Linked DNA regions of Diceros bicornis minor. The protein of the gene in region 1 binds, or shares a complex with, the protein of each later gene. Links are inferred from orthologs where the notes say so. Each region holds a gene or a part of one and is shown on either strand. Other genes may lie near its edges. The genes, in order: RASA1 and ARHGAP35.

The links.
Region 2: the proteins of RASA1 (region 1) and ARHGAP35 are in contact, whole or in part, in a crystal structure (PDB 8DGQ), measured with the Homo sapiens proteins. The link is inferred for Diceros bicornis minor from reciprocal best matches to the Homo sapiens genes RASA1 and ARHGAP35. Residues at the interface, in NP_002881.1 of Homo sapiens: Arg188, Arg207, Ser209, Arg211, Val217, Asn228, His229, Phe230, Arg231, Ile241, Gly242, Tyr256, Leu262, Leu263, Lys264, Lys358, Ser379, Asp380, Asn381, Ser387, Gln397, Arg398, Phe399, Lys400, Met411, Gly412, Gly413, Arg414, His425, Tyr426; in NP_004482.4 of Homo sapiens: Ser1085, Asp1086, Tyr1087, Ala1088, Glu1089, Pro1090, Met1091, Asp1092, Ala1093, Val1094, Val1095, Arg1098, Glu1100, Asn1103, Ile1104, Tyr1105, Ser1106, Val1107, Pro1108, His1109.

The regions. Positions count from the first base shown.
Region 1 is NC_080740.1:14,384,222-14,391,849, forward strand, and holds the start of RASA1 (ras GTPase-activating protein 1), read left to right. Parts: upstream 1-4,625; 5' UTR 4,626-4,699; coding exon 4,700-5,217; intron 5,218-7,628. UniProt on the Homo sapiens protein: Inhibitory regulator of the Ras-cyclic AMP pathway. Stimulates the GTPase of normal but not oncogenic Ras p21; this stimulation may be further increased in the presence of NCK1.
Region 2 is NC_080773.1:22,366,358-22,373,437, reverse strand, and holds the start of ARHGAP35 (rho GTPase-activating protein 35), read right to left. Parts: upstream 3,088-7,080; 5' UTR 2,844-3,087; intron 1-2,843.

The DNA.
Region 1 (7,628 bases):
AAAAAAAGACATTTTTCTACTCCTCTTTCAAGAGAGGGGGTACTTTGATCCAATTGCTCCAAGCTCCTTTAACCATATATAACCATACATAAGTTTGAGTGTTTCAAGAGGGCTCCTGATAATTTCCTCTGAAGTCTTATAGCCTCAGAGATCATACTATTCTTTAATTTCTTCAAGGTGTTTATAATTTTCATAAATCTTATTTAGTTATTATACCACATACTGTAATCCCTGCAGAGCTATTTACTTTTTCATCAAAATAATTTCCTTTAACCTGTATCTCCTCCATGTTATGTTCTCAAGACATCTCCCTAATGAGGAAATTTGTGCTGTTGAGGATTTTAAGATGAGGCCAACAAATGCAGTAGGGATGTTAGAGGTTAGGAGTAAAGGCTTCCTTTCAAAATTTTTGGGTCATGGAAATCTTTTTACACTATTTATATATTTGGAAGGCTATTTGTACAGCTGAGTATGTACTGGGGCTTAAAACACATTTGGGATTATTCAAACACAGGTGTAAGCTCTTTATCACTTCTGGCTTAGTCTTCCTCTCAGTAACTCCTCATATATTTGCTCTGAACCCCTTGAGGTTCTCTAAAATTGTATTTTTGACCCAGAATTACCTTTTCACATATTGAGGTATTAAAACTGTGAAATATTTCAGAATGTATTATTCATATTTGAGTTGCCAATAAAATCAGAATGAGCCAAATTAATTTTTTTAAACTAAATGTTCAGACTCTTTTCACCCACAAGTCTTTGTCCAGCATTTCTGATTATTTACTCTTCATTGAATACTATGTTTAATTCAATATTGGGAGTAACTTTTCTAAAATCACAGATGCCATAGATTGTTTTACTAAAGGTAAAATCTATTTTGAATTTTCCTCTCTTTTCTTTTGTATATTGTTCTGTTTTTCAGTACCTCCTTGTTTAATATTATCTGTGAATTTAATTAACAGACTGTTTACTTCCCTTTGTTAACTGATGTTATGTAACACCACACCTAACACCAACGCCTCTCTCCAAATAGATATTTCATAATTTTTTTTTTTTAATTGTTCTTGGTTTTTGACTCATGAAACTTCAAGGAGTATACTTCAAGGAGAATAGTCTTATGTCAGAAAATTCAGGGGCTTGAAAGAAAAGAAAAGGGAAACACAGAAGTAGAAACTGAGGGAGCAATTAACAGAAAAAAAGAGAACATGAGACTATAAATGAGAGAAGGGTAGAAGATCAAGGTAAGTAGAAAAAGAAAAAAGGCAACAGACAAAAATAAAGAAGGTAGAAACATTTAACCCTTTTGGAAAAAATAAAGTCACTGAAGATAGAAGACTGATTTGAGATTAAGGAAATACCCAAGAAATAGTGATCAAAGCCTAGATCTGTCCAGTAAAAGGAGTATATAAAATATTTGAAAATACCTCATCAAAAAAATGTGGTAGTCTGTTTGGATGAAAAAGCACAACTCTAAGATTGAATATAAGGTAAGATACTGGTATTAGGTTGATATACAAATAGACATAGCAGATCTTTCCTACTAGTAGAGCAACTGATGTCCAAAGATGTGAGCTGATTTAATCCAGCGTTTGTTAAAAGGATGGAGATCTGTTAAAGCATTTGGCAAGGATGCCTAGCACAGGGCTAGGCAGTAGGAAAAACCACAGGTTCTCTTAGCAGAATAGTTTTGTGGATACATACACCTAAAAGTAACTAGAAAACAGTATAACTCAGTATACAGTTGGTGTTGGACTGCATTAAATATTGGCCTTTAAGTGCTAAAGAATTTTCAAAAAAGGGGGAGGAGGTAATTGTGCAAATTAGAGTAGTGAGCCTGATCTGGAAGCTCAGGCAGTGTTCAGATAGTGCGTGGGCACTTAGAGAAGATCAGTGATAACCAAGAGCTGGCGATAACCTGCCGGAATAATGTCCTACATTCAGAGGCTGATGATGGTAATTGGCGTGGGAGTGTTGCAGGATTGGGATGCTAACACACTGCAGGCTTTCAAGCACAGGCTACATGAAAATTTGTTGCCAGTGAGTGGAATAGGTACTTTGACGGTCTCTTCTAACTCTGAGGGTCTAAGTTTAAAAGAAAAACTATTTTCAGGGAGGTGACTGTAAGAAGTAGGACTTGATTATTCTCTTCAAGACCATGGCTCTACTTCATTATGCACTTTCTCATTTTCTAACCTCCTTTCTAGAACAGCACAGAGCTTAGCAACCCAATACCAACATCTCTTACCCACCTACCTAATGAATGACATTGAGCCGGCTTTCTCATCTATTCTTTCTCTCATTCAGGATAATTGCACACCTCCCTCTTGATTAGCATACTACACTCTAGGACAGCGGTTCTTAAACGTAAATGTGTCAACTTGGAGGGCTCATTAAAACATAGATTGCCGCACAGTTTCTGATTCAGAGGGTCTGGGGTGGGGCCCCAAAATTTGCATTTTTACCAGTTCCTAGGATAGTGCTGGTCTGAGACCACTCTTGTGACTAGTTCATCTTCACTCTGCCAGTGGTACACTGCATAGGAGGTGAGCACGATGAGGGAGTCCTCAGGATTACCGTTTAATCAAGTTTGTCAGTGATTTGGCAAATAGGCTTATGCAAACTTCTAAAGTAAAGGAAAATGTCTTGCGTGCACCTTTCGCCCTCTTTTAGTGGTCTATTCCTTTTTTCCTGGGCCTCTATAACAGCCCCTTCCCATGCCCTATGTGGTACTATATTGGTTTGATCATCTTTAGCAGAGAAAATATTGATCTCAAAGATTAAATCAAGATTAAATATTAAAAAGATATTTAGAAAGATTAAATATTGATGTTTGAGATCAATATTTTATGGTATTTAATGTGGCATTCCTCCTGGGAGAATTTAAAAGATAAGAACAATATATGAATCCAAAAGGGCAAATTACTGGTACTGTAATTTCAAACAATGGGAATGATTCCTCCACGTACACGAATGCATATATTTTATTATAGAAGACAAAACAAAACCCATCTCTTTGGCTATATTAAGGGTGAGATTTCAGTTTATTTCTAATTTTTGAAACTATACTTAATTGTAACCGGCACTTGGGGACCCTCTTGACATTCGCCTTGTTGAAGGTGCTCTGTGCGTTCACGTGTGCATCGCGAAGCATGCCCTGCCGTCTTTCGCACACAAACGAGGACAAAAGTGCGTTGATTAGTGATGTCTCTGGCATCCCTCTTCTTCCACACCTCATTAATACTCAACCGACTTGCAATGGTACTCAACAAACTTGCTATGGCACAGGTAAGTGTGTGTGTGTGTGTGTGTGTGTGTGAGAGCGAGCGAGCGAGAGAGCGAGCGCAAGCGCGGAGGTGGGGGGGAGGGAGGATACGGATGGTTGGTGAAGAAAACAAAACGTGTCTAGAAATCTGGCTTCACAACCACTATTTCCACCAAAATTCCTTGCCCTCCTCATATGGACCCCTTTATCCATTTCGTTTTCTTCTCTTGAGTTTCAGAACCTAGTTTTTTATTTCATTTTATTTTTTAGTTTGTAATAGTTGTACACTGATTTATATTAGGCAACGAAAATGAAAACATTAATAGTACTGCCTGGACCTTCGAAGCAATATCCACCTTCCCCCGGGGCCTTGGGCGTCTGGTTTCTGCGCCGCGGGCCAAGGGTGTGTTTTCTACGGGTCAGGAAGTGGGGCACTGGCTTCGCGGCATCTTCCTTTCCCGTTCCCCATTCCGTCCTCTCACCGCCTCCCTGTCCCTCCCGTCTTCACGGCGCCCGGCGGCCGCGTGCTCAGGTACTCACTCCTCCCCTGCCCCGGCCCACCGGCCCACCGAACAAAGCCCAGGGAGGCAGGCGCGCGCCGCCGGCGACACCGACGGGAGGAGCGGCCGCGCCGCCACGCGCCAGAACCGGAGCGGGACAGCCGGCGCGTCCGCTCCCCGCGCGTCCCCGCCGCTTCCGTCCCTCCCGACTCTTCCTTTTCCTCCCTCCAGGCCCAGCCCCCCCACCCCCGCGCCGGGAACGCGCCTGCGCAGAAGCGCCGTCTCCCTCCTCCCCCGCCCTTCCTTCCCTCCGCTCCTCCTCCTGTGCCCCGCCTTCCTTTCTCTCTGGTCGATTTCACTGAGCGCTCCAGGTTGGGAGCAGTTCAGTCGGTTTCCCCAGTACCCCGCCCCCCTTCCTCTTATCTCCCCACCCCTCCCATCTGTAGCCCGGTGGAGGATGAAGCGGCTGCAGTGGCCCCAGCCCCAGCAGCGGCACCGGCGGTGGCTGCGGTGGAGGTGGCCGGAACTGGGGTGGTGAAGAAGCGGTGGCGGCGGCGGCGGCGGTGGCTGAAGGAGCGGCAGCCGCCCCAGCCGCTTCCCCTGCGCTTCCCTTCCTCTTTAGGGCAGCCAGGAAGTTTTTCGCTTCTGTGCATGTGTGTGTGCGTGAGTGTGGGTGTGTAAGGTGAAGGTTTGGGCGGCGTTTGTGCAGGCGTTGGGTTTTTTGCCCACTTCGCTTCCCGTAACCCGGGCAGCTCCGGAGCCTGGGCTGTGGCCCGAGGAGGGGGCGCGGCGGCGGGCTCTCTCCTTTTGTTGTTGTTTCCTCCGCCTGGGGAGCTGACGGGGGGACGCGCCTGGGTGGGGCGGCTCGGAGCCCGGGCCTGGTGGCCCTCGGGGCTCCCGGGCGGGCAGGGGAGGGCAGAGTCGAGCGGGCTTCAACATGATGGCGGCCGAGGCCGGCAGTGAGGAGGGCGGCCCGGTGACCGCCGGGGCCGCAGGAGGCGGCGCGGCCGCGGGCTCCAGTGCCTATCCGGCAGTGTGTCGGGTGAAGATCCCCGCGGCCCTGCCTGTGGCAGCCGCCTCGTATCCTGGGCTGGCGGAGGCCGCAGTGGCCGGGACTCTGGGTGGCGGAGCCGCTGCGGGGTCAGGGTTCCTAGGGGCCGTGTCCGTGGCGGGGGCGCTGGGGGGAGCCGGACTGTCAGGGGGAGGTGCTGCTGCTGGCGTGGCTGGTGCTGCCGCCGCCGGACCTGGCGGGGAGATGGCTCCCACCAAGGGGACCACTTCGTTGCCTGCCGAGCCCTTCGGGGCGGGCGGCGGATTCCCTCCTCTGCCGCCGCCTCCTCAGCTGCCCACTTTGGGCGCCGGCCTGGGAACAGTGGACGAAGGTGACTCTCTGGATGGACCAGAATACGAGGAGGAAGAGGTGGCCATCCCGCTGACCGCTCCTCCAACTAACCAGTAAGTCAAGACCACTGTTCTGGGACTGGGGAAGCTGGCTCCTGGAAAGAAGTGGGAAAACGTACCTCGTTCTTTCTGCTGTGATTTGTTCTGAGAAGTTTGGAAGCTTCAGGTTCCATGCGTAGGGATTTAATATGATCTCTCATCTTCCCCACAGGCATACTCCCTGGCGTCTTTGTCTATTTATTGCTCCTCTGGGAAGATGTAAAGTTTTTAAGATGGGAAAATGTGTATCCAGTGAGAACCGGATATGGTTCTGCCCCTTCCAAATTGAGCTGGCGGCCTGGGATTCAGCAGAGCTTGCAGCCGCCTAGGCAGTCATAGTCTGTATTAACTTGTGTGTGTTCCCGATTGAAGCTAGATGATGAGTGAGAAGCTCTGAATACGAGTATTTGAATCAGTATTGTACTGATATCATTTGAAACATGCATTGGTCAGAATGCTTTGCTTTTGTTGCACTGCAAATCCCACCTTCTGCTTAGTGAAAACCTAGAGGTGCAGAAAAGTCTTTGGATCACTTATGAAAACGTGGGTCAGCGAGGAAGGAAAGGAGTTCCGTGAATTACAGGTGTGATTAAGGGCCCATACTCCAGCAATGTTTGTAACTTGTGCCATAGAATTCCCATTTATTAATATTAGTGTAATTCTTTTATAGTTGTGACTTTGTAAGTACAACATTGAAGTAAAACAAATTAATAGTGTACTTCCCTTCAACACTTTTTCTTGGTGGCCGATACAATATTTTATTTGAGAATTAATTTTGACAGTCTACTGCAGAATATATAGGACAAATGACTTTTCTATATAAAGTTAGCACCTCCCCCTTACTTGTTCTCTACCTAGGTTAACTTATGGATGCATTTATAAAGGTGGACCTTGAGGAGAGGAAAATGTTGATGGGAAGTGGTAATAGTAGACAAAACTTGTTTTATAGATCACTCAGATCTGTCTTAATTGACCTTTAGAATTTCGACAACCTTTGATGAGTATCAGAGGAAAAAAGATTTGGTTTATATGTTCACAGTCACTCTGGACCGTTGAAAGGTTTTTTTTTTGGATAAGCATCTTTGGAGGATTTAGAAAGGACTTAAAAAATGACTTAGGAAAAGATTCTGTAGTAATCCATTTTTGACTTAAGGCTACATCTTCTGATACTTAAGGTGGAAAATTAAAGTTAGTCTTATTTATGTCAGCCATAGTATAGAGGTGTTGTATTCCTTTTATAGTGCTCAATATGAGTTAAATTTTTTTGTCTAATTTTGTTCCAACTTATCATGTTATGTCTATGTATTGCAGACTTTTCTAAAGGTGTTCTGAGAGTGTTAAAAATTCCAGTTTCCAGCACTGTTTCACCTTCAAGCCATTTTGAAAAAGTCAGATTTAAATATTAAGTGCCCACTATATGCTCAGCACTGTGGTTATAATAAAGTGCAACTTTTCATACTGAAAGAATATAGTCTTATTCCAGTTCATAACTGAATTGAATTAGGCATATTTAGTATATTGTAGTTCTAAATTTTTTTAAGTCAAATTTATTTTGTAGAGCAATTCTAGGTTCACGGCAAAATTGAGCAGAAAATACAGAGCATTCCCATTAAATTTTTAATAATAAACATGAATGGGTACATAGAACAAATTGTGTTTGTGAGAAGTCCATTGTGTAAGATTTTCATCATTATCACTTATATGTATTTAGGAATAAAAATAATATTTGTATGACTGTATATGAGAATTGTTCATGTTCTAAAAAGTATCCTCCATTTCTAGTATGTTTTTTAAATTTGCCACTGAGAAGTACAAATTTCCCTCTTTTCTTTATCTTAGATATCAACCCAGAGTCACTGGAGGCAATACAGTGTAGTGGTTAAGCGTGCAAATTCTGAAGTTAGACAAGATTTGGGTTGGAATCCTGACTCTGCCACTTACTAGCTGTGTGATCTTGGAAAGGTCAGTTTCCCCATCTGTAAAATGGGGATAATAATGGTACCTCCCTCATATGGTCGTTTTTAAAGTTTAATGAAAACCTTGAACATATTCAGCACAGTGCCTGGCACATAGTAAGTGTTTAGTAAATAGTCTCCCCAAATAACAAGAATATAATTTTATTGTCATTAAATTGCCTACTAATTCTATTGGTGTAGGGACTCTTTTCCTAATAGCTATTTGAGAGAATGTTTTGAACTCCAAAGACCTGTCTGCCATAATTAATTATATTAAAATTTTATTTTTACTTCATAAAAGCTTCTAGCAGATTAAGCAGGTTCAGAGATGAAATTCAAGTGTTTTCTATAAATTCCTATTTTCAATGAAAGGAGGAAAAAGCCTTAGTGACTTGGTTAAATAATGTCAAATTTCCCATAAAAGTATTGAAGAAATGTTTTTGGACTAAATTAATATTTGACTAGTGACTG
Region 2 (7,080 bases), on another chromosome or scaffold:
CAACAGAAGAGCACTGAAGGAAAGGCAGCTCAAAGAAAGGCAGCTAAGGGACATTTCCTAGGTAATAAGACCAAAAATCCAATCAGATCAGCCAGGTCCTGGCACCCCATTCTCACTCTAATTTCTGATTTCTCAAATCAGGTCACTCAGAAGACTTGGGGAGTGTCAAGGCCCACCCACATCCTCCTTGTACACCGATGAGCCCCCCTAACCCCCATCCAACACGGATCTGCCCAGAGGCATTTCGCTCGTGTGGCTGGGAGTGCCTGCAAGACCAGAGGGCAGAAATCTGAGTGACACCTGGCACTCTCTCTTTCAACAAACAACCACAGCAAAGAGCCTTCCAAACCCAGGCCCTCACTATTTTGAAGACCAGGAAGCTAGAGCCTTCCGGGGGCAGAGGTGAAAAAGAACTAAGCCCACCCTCCCGCTCCTCCCAAAGGTCACACTGAGAACCAGAGGCCATCACGGAAGGCAAGACTGCAGCTTCTGCAGACCCAGAGCCGTAAATACCAAGTGTGGCCATAACCTCCCTGTGGGATTGGGAGAACTTGAGAAACAGCATTTCCCCAGCAAGGGGGGGTAAAACAAAAATATGACTTGTCAGCCAGAAAAATCTCAAAAAATGCACTCCTAAATTCTCGCAAGGGGTGCTGGCTTGGAGATGGAAGGGGGAGAGGGTACAAGTGTCTCTTTACAACAGCCCAGAGGAGGAGGGAGGGAAAGTGAGGAAGAGAAGAAAGACCCTGTGAGCAGCTGCACTCTCCTTTCCGAAGGACACAAAGCTGTACAGCCCAGGGATCTGAAGGGGCTGGGGAGCAAAATGGGAGTGAGAAAGAACATGGGGCAATGCGAAGAGATCTAGCCCCCCCCCCACTAACCTTGGTAGAAGTGGGGGGAAAAGGGGAGACATTCCCAGGCTCCAGAGAGCAGCAACCCACCCACCAACCCCCACCTATTTCCCCGGATCTCCCAGGATCCCTGGGGATAAGACCCTCAGGGTCAGGGTGCTGAAAGAATCTGCAGTCTAAATCAGAGCCCAAAGAACCCTGGACCAAAGCCAGCCCCTTCCCCTCCAAAGCTGACGGGGGGGGGGGGGGGGGGGGGGGGGGGGATCATGATGATCATGATCATGATCATGATTGATGATTGATGATGACAAGGAATAGTTTAGAAGACATCTCTAATACTGGGCAGAATCAAGGAAAGGAGAACTCAAGAAGGAGGTAAGAGGGAGGGCAGAGGAGGGAGGAGGAATACAAGCAAGGAGAGGCTGGAGGTGGAGAGCTGAATCAAAATGGTGGGGGGAGAGCCAGGTGGAAAACTGAGAATTGAGAGGCAACAGAGGCGGGACGCAGTTGAGAAGACCAGGGTTAAAGAGGCCCACTCCAGGAGGGGGCAGCAGTAGGAAAGTGAAAATGGGTCATAAAAATAGGTGGGCAAGTGGACAGCTCCGAAAGGGGCAGAGCTAGGAAGAAAACATTAAATGGAGAGGAGGGGGCAGAACAGAACAAATGAGAAAGCAGGTGCAAAAAAGATCTGGGGAGCTCTGTGAGATGCAGAACGGGAGGGGAAAGGGTGACAGGTCAGAGAAAAGTGATCAATGGTTTAGTTAGGTAAAAGGCAAGTCTACGAAGGGCCAAAATGGAAAGGAGAGGACCCGGAGCAAAGAGCAGTCGGGAACCAAGCCTTAAGCAGAGAAGAACAGAAGGGGAGACAGGTCAGAAAGGGGGAGTAAATGAATGGAACAGCTCAAGAGTGCCAGTGAGGAGGTGGGGAGGAGAGGAAACCCAAGGAGAACACCGGCGCAGAACTGGGGGTTCCGGGCAGCACCGAGGCTGCGGAGAGGCTGAGGGAGAGAGGGCAGAGAAGCGAATGGCAGAAAAGAGCTGCAGGGTCAGAGAGGCGGGAGGAGGCTGCTTCGTGGAAGGCAGAGAAGGAAAGCAAGCAGGCTAGAGGGCACAGCAAGATCCGAGATTGGGCAAAGAGCAGAAAGGTCTGGAAGAGGAAAGGGTCTGAACGGCAAACGGGAGCAAGGTTGAGACGGGAGGAGGCAAGCCCGGTGCACCCGAGTCCGAGGAGGGGCAGGGGACTGAACTGAGGCTTGGAAGCGGCCGAGAGCCCAGGGGCATCTTTGGGGTGCAGCAGATTCCGTGCGTGGGCAACAGGGCCCAAAGGGACGTGAAATTAAGTCCAAAGAGACCTGGGGCAGCAGTGCCAAGACGAACAGGGTCTCAGATGGCTCTCCAAAGAGGTGGAACCGCGTGTCCTACAGGGACAGCTCCTGGGGGCGCAAGAGAGGAGGGGTAACAGCAGATGGGTCAAAGAAGGGGACAGAGCAGAAGGGCGGTGAGAGCGGAATCGGAGAGGAGGCAGAAGACTCACGAATCTCAAAGTGGGGGTCCAGAATTAAAGGATGCAGAAGGGTCCCTGAGGAGGTGGGTCCCGGGAGCACTGCGGAGTGCAGGAGGGGCGAAGGGCATTACGGAGCGGCGGAAGGGGGAAGGGGGAGGCGCAGAGTCGGGACCAGCGGGGCTGAAGTGGGGGGGCCGGGGCAGACCCCGAGATCCCAATGGGTCGGAGGGTGGGGGCAGCCGCGGGGACAGCGGGGCTGGCGCGGGCAGGGGCAGGTCCGCAGGGCAGGCGGGCCCCGTGGGCCGGGCCGCAGCGCGAAGCGGCTGGGCCGGCGGGGCCCGGGGGGCTGGGGGGCCGCTCCCTCCCCTCCCCCTCCGGCTCCTCCATTGTTCGCGGGCTCCGGGCCCCGCCGTCCCCGCCTCCCCCTGGACCCCGCAGCGGGGCGGCGCCCGGCCTCGCCGCCGGGGCCCGCGAGCTCGCGCACTCACCAGCTGGGCGCCCTCAGCGCGGCCCCGGACTCCGGGATCCCGACAGCGGCGACGGCGGCCCCGGCGCCATGTTCTGCTGCTCCTCGTCCAGCGGCAGCTGAGGCGGCGGCGGCTCCGGCGGCGGGGGGCCGGGCGGACCCTCCCTCGCGGGCTCCCTCCTCCGCCTCCTCCACCTCCTCCTCCCGCCGCGCCGCGGCTCTCCCTCGGGGCGGGAGGGCGGGGAGGGGAAGGGGGAGGGGCGGGAACCAGGGGGAGGGCGGACCAGCCTCGCTCGCTCCCTCCCTCCCTCCCTCGCAATGGCGGCGGCGGCGCCTCCTTCCTGCGGCCGCCGCTCCCGCGAGCGCGCCCCTCGCTACTGCGCGTGCGTGGCGCGAGGACCGTTGCAGGGGGATAACGGCCCCTGGGCGCGCGCCGCCAGGGGATAACCAGGGTGGGCCGGGGAGAAGCGAGAGCGCGTGCGCGCCCGAGGGGCGCCCTGCCACCGCCGCGGCCGAGGGCTGAGAACGGGCGCGGAGGGCGCAGTGCGCGTGCGCCCCAAGAAAATGCCGCTACTGCGGTGGCTGCTGCGCGAGGAGACCCGCGACAGGCCAGAGGGAGTGGGGGTGGGCAAGTGCGCGTGCGCGGGAGGGGCTGCAAGCCGCCGCAGCTACTGGCGCGAGGCGGAGGGAGTGGCCCGCGGGAGGCGCGCGCGCCCTTGCGCGCGCCAGACGCAGCCGAACCCCCTCCTCGTGCTGGCTCTTGGAGAAAGCGGGAGGGGAGAGGCTTGGCCCGGCTTTGGGGGCGGGGGCGAAGGGCACGATCCCGCTCGCGCGGGACCTGAGCGGCCAATGGGAGGCAAGGGGAGGTGGGTTTGCCGCGAGAGCCGCAGACCCCGGGATAACGGAGGAGGAGAGAGGGAGCGACGTAACGTGGGGCGGTGGGGAGGGGCTGAGGAGGAGGGAGAGCCCCCAGCCAAGGAGCTGATTGGGGAGCGTGAGGAGGCGTGGCCCGCCTAGGCCCAATCCTAGCCTCGCAACTCGTCGTTCCGGAAGAAGGGGCGGGGCTGGGGAGCGCGTGCTCTTTCCCCGCGCAGTGAAGAAAATCTGCAGTCAACGCGCGCGGTAATACAACTTGCTCTGCATTCTGTGATCGCCTGATTCCCGGGAGAGGGGCGAGGGCCCGGTCCTGCGTGCAGCCCTGGCCTCCAAGTCAGCAATGTACAAATGACTGCAAATCACATGTCATTTCGGGCGCCTGGAGGGGAAATAGTAGTGATGGGAAGGGGCACCGCTGTAACCCTTGAGCTCCTCTAAACTGAGGAGGGGTTCCTCTGGGACCCCTCCGGAAGTACGGATGGTGGAAGATGAAAGATCTGGGCGCCAAGTCGATATTTATGGAATTCATGAAGAAAGGCTATGCTTCCTATTGCATTTTGCGTTTCTTTCCTCAGTCTTTTCATCTGTAAAATAGAACGATATTCTTACCTCCCTCATAGGGTTGCTATGAGAATTAAATGTGTTATATTTGTAAAGCGCTGAAAATCATGCCTTGCATTATAAGTGTTGATAAATAAAATTACATGCACTCAAAGTTTTAAAACATCCCATTAAATAAAAGTTTTCTGGTGACTGATCAGGGTCATTTCCATTGACTTTTTTTTTTAATTTATCACTTTCAATACATGAAATTTTATTTTTAGATGTTCGTGACTATTTTTTTTAAAGTTTGCTTTAAGCATTGTGGGCCAGATTTTCTTTAGGTTGCCACTGCAAACTCTGGTTTGTAAGCGATTTTGAGATTACTTGAGGGAACACCAGATTCCCCTACCACAAATTAATGTGTGTTTGTAACTCCAATGCAGTGTTCTAGGTCCTTCCAATCTTGGGAAATTTCTGAACTGGCAGCACCTGGAGAAGAGCGAAGACTGGGTTCACTCTGGACCCAGATGTCCCCTTCCCCTCTTTCGGAGCCCGTCAACTCTGCCTTATCCTTCAAGTCTAGCTTGAAGTCACTTCCTCAGAGTGGCCCCCCAGATTTGGCCTGACTCCTCATTCTTTGATAAAAATGGGCTCTTTATACCACGCAACATTCTAAAGCACTTTAAACAGATTGACTCACTTAATCCTCACAACACTTTGTAAGTAGGTTATAGTTGTTATTATTCTACTAAACTAAGGCACAGAGAGGTTACACAGCTAGTAAATGGCAGATCTGGGATTCAAACTCAGACAATTGGGGTCAGATAACTACACAGCTACTATTTCCTCACAGCACTCCATCAGGGTTGAAATTCTGTATTGGTATCACCATTTTAAGTGTGAGCCCTTTGAAGGCAGGGATTCTGGCTAGTTTCTCAATTTGGCAAATGACCCACAGTAAATACTTGTGGGTTTTTTTGTTTGTGTGTGTGTGTGTGTGAGGAAGACCAGCCCTAAGCTAACATCCAATGCCAATCCTCCTCTTTTTTGCTGAGGAAGACTGGCTCTGGGCTAACATCCGTGCCCATCTTCCTCTACTTTATATAGGACGCTGCCACAGCACGGCCCAACAAGTGGTGCGTTGTTGCGCGCCGGGATCCGAACCAGCGAACCCCCGGCCGCGGCAGCAGAGCACGCGCACCCAACCGCTTGGGCCACCAGGCCAGCCATAAATACTTGTTAATGAATAAATGAATGAATCCAAAGCCAAGCAGAGAATGATGGCTGGCACTGGGGGCGTGGCAGCCAAAAAGATACAGTCCTTGTCCAATTGCTGACTCCTACCCCTCTTGCAGATGCTAGCTCAGGTATTCCCTCTTCCAGAAGGTCCTTCCTGATCTGCCAGGCTGGATCAGGCACCCCTTTTAGACTCCGCCAGCCCCTTTGGGTCTCCAACCAAGCCCTAATCCCCTGGGGCGTCCCTATCTAGTAATATAGGTCTTTCTCTCCCACCGGACTGTAAGCCCCATGAGAACAGGGCCGGAGCTGTCTTAGCAGCATTGATGTCCTCAGCACAGGCCCAGGCACAAGGCAGGGGCTCAGGTAGCGTTTCCCTGGATGAACGAACGAACTATGAAGGAGGGCCTTCCCAGCTCTGCAATTCTTTGCAGTGCGCAAGAGGGCGGGTGTTAGCTGAGCAAGCCAACCACAGGAAACAGGCTTCCCTGGGGGCAGCCGCCCCCGCGCACCCGGCCAGCCTCCACTCCAGGATAAATAAACAACCGAGTAAACAACTAGCTGACAGAGAGAAGTGCCGACTGCCGGCCTGGGCCGCTGTCAAGATTTCCCAAGCATCGCCCTAGGGGCCCAAATGGCCGGGACGCGAGGTCACATCAACCGGAGAGCCGGGGTAGGTACAAGGCGGGGCCTGGGGACCTGGCGCCTCATTGGAGAGATGCATAAGCAGAAAAATCCCCAGAAGAGTTTTGCAAAGAGCGTGGAGGTGCTGGAGCATATTCTCTCGCCATTCCTCAGTGTCAGAAAGAATCAGAGGGTGGGGACCAGGTCTGCGCTTGACCAAAGAGTCGGTGAGCTCACAGCGCCCCCTACAAACCGAACTGAGGAAGCTGCAGCTAGCTGAGGCTGCCAGGGATGTCAGAGAGCGGTGAACTCTTCCGCCATTGGCCAGAAGGGCAGCCAATCACAAGAAAGGAACGGGAGGCGGAGATGCTCAGATTCACTGCGTGATCCCAGCGGCCGGCCAGAGCTGGACGCGCAGTGGGCACGCGCTAAATATCTGACGGAAGGATGGATGAGGAACCTCGCAATTTCTATGAACTTTAAAAATGGTAATATAACATGCATACGGAGAAGTGCACAAATCACAAGTGTACAGCTCGATGAATATTCACAAAGAGAACACGCCCTTGTAACCAGCACCCAGAATAACAAACGGAATATGACCTATGTCTCAGAAGCCCCCTGGTGTCTCCTTCCAGTCAGTCCCCACAAGCAGAACCTCCATCCCGACTCCTATGACTGTAGATTGGTTTTGCCCGTTTTTATACTTTATATAATGGAATCCTGTAAGTGACTTCTTTTGATCAACACTGTTAGATTCATCCACATTACTGTGTGTAGACGCAGATCGTTCATTCTCAGTGCTGTCTAGTATTCCACTGTGCGAATCAACCATGATGTATTTATCCATTCTACTGTTGGTGAGCATCTGGATGGTTTCCACTTTGGGCTGTTATGATTAGTGCTGATATGAACAAGTTAGGACGTGTCTTTTTTAGGACGAGTAAACATATGTACTCATTTCTGATAGGTGTGTGCCT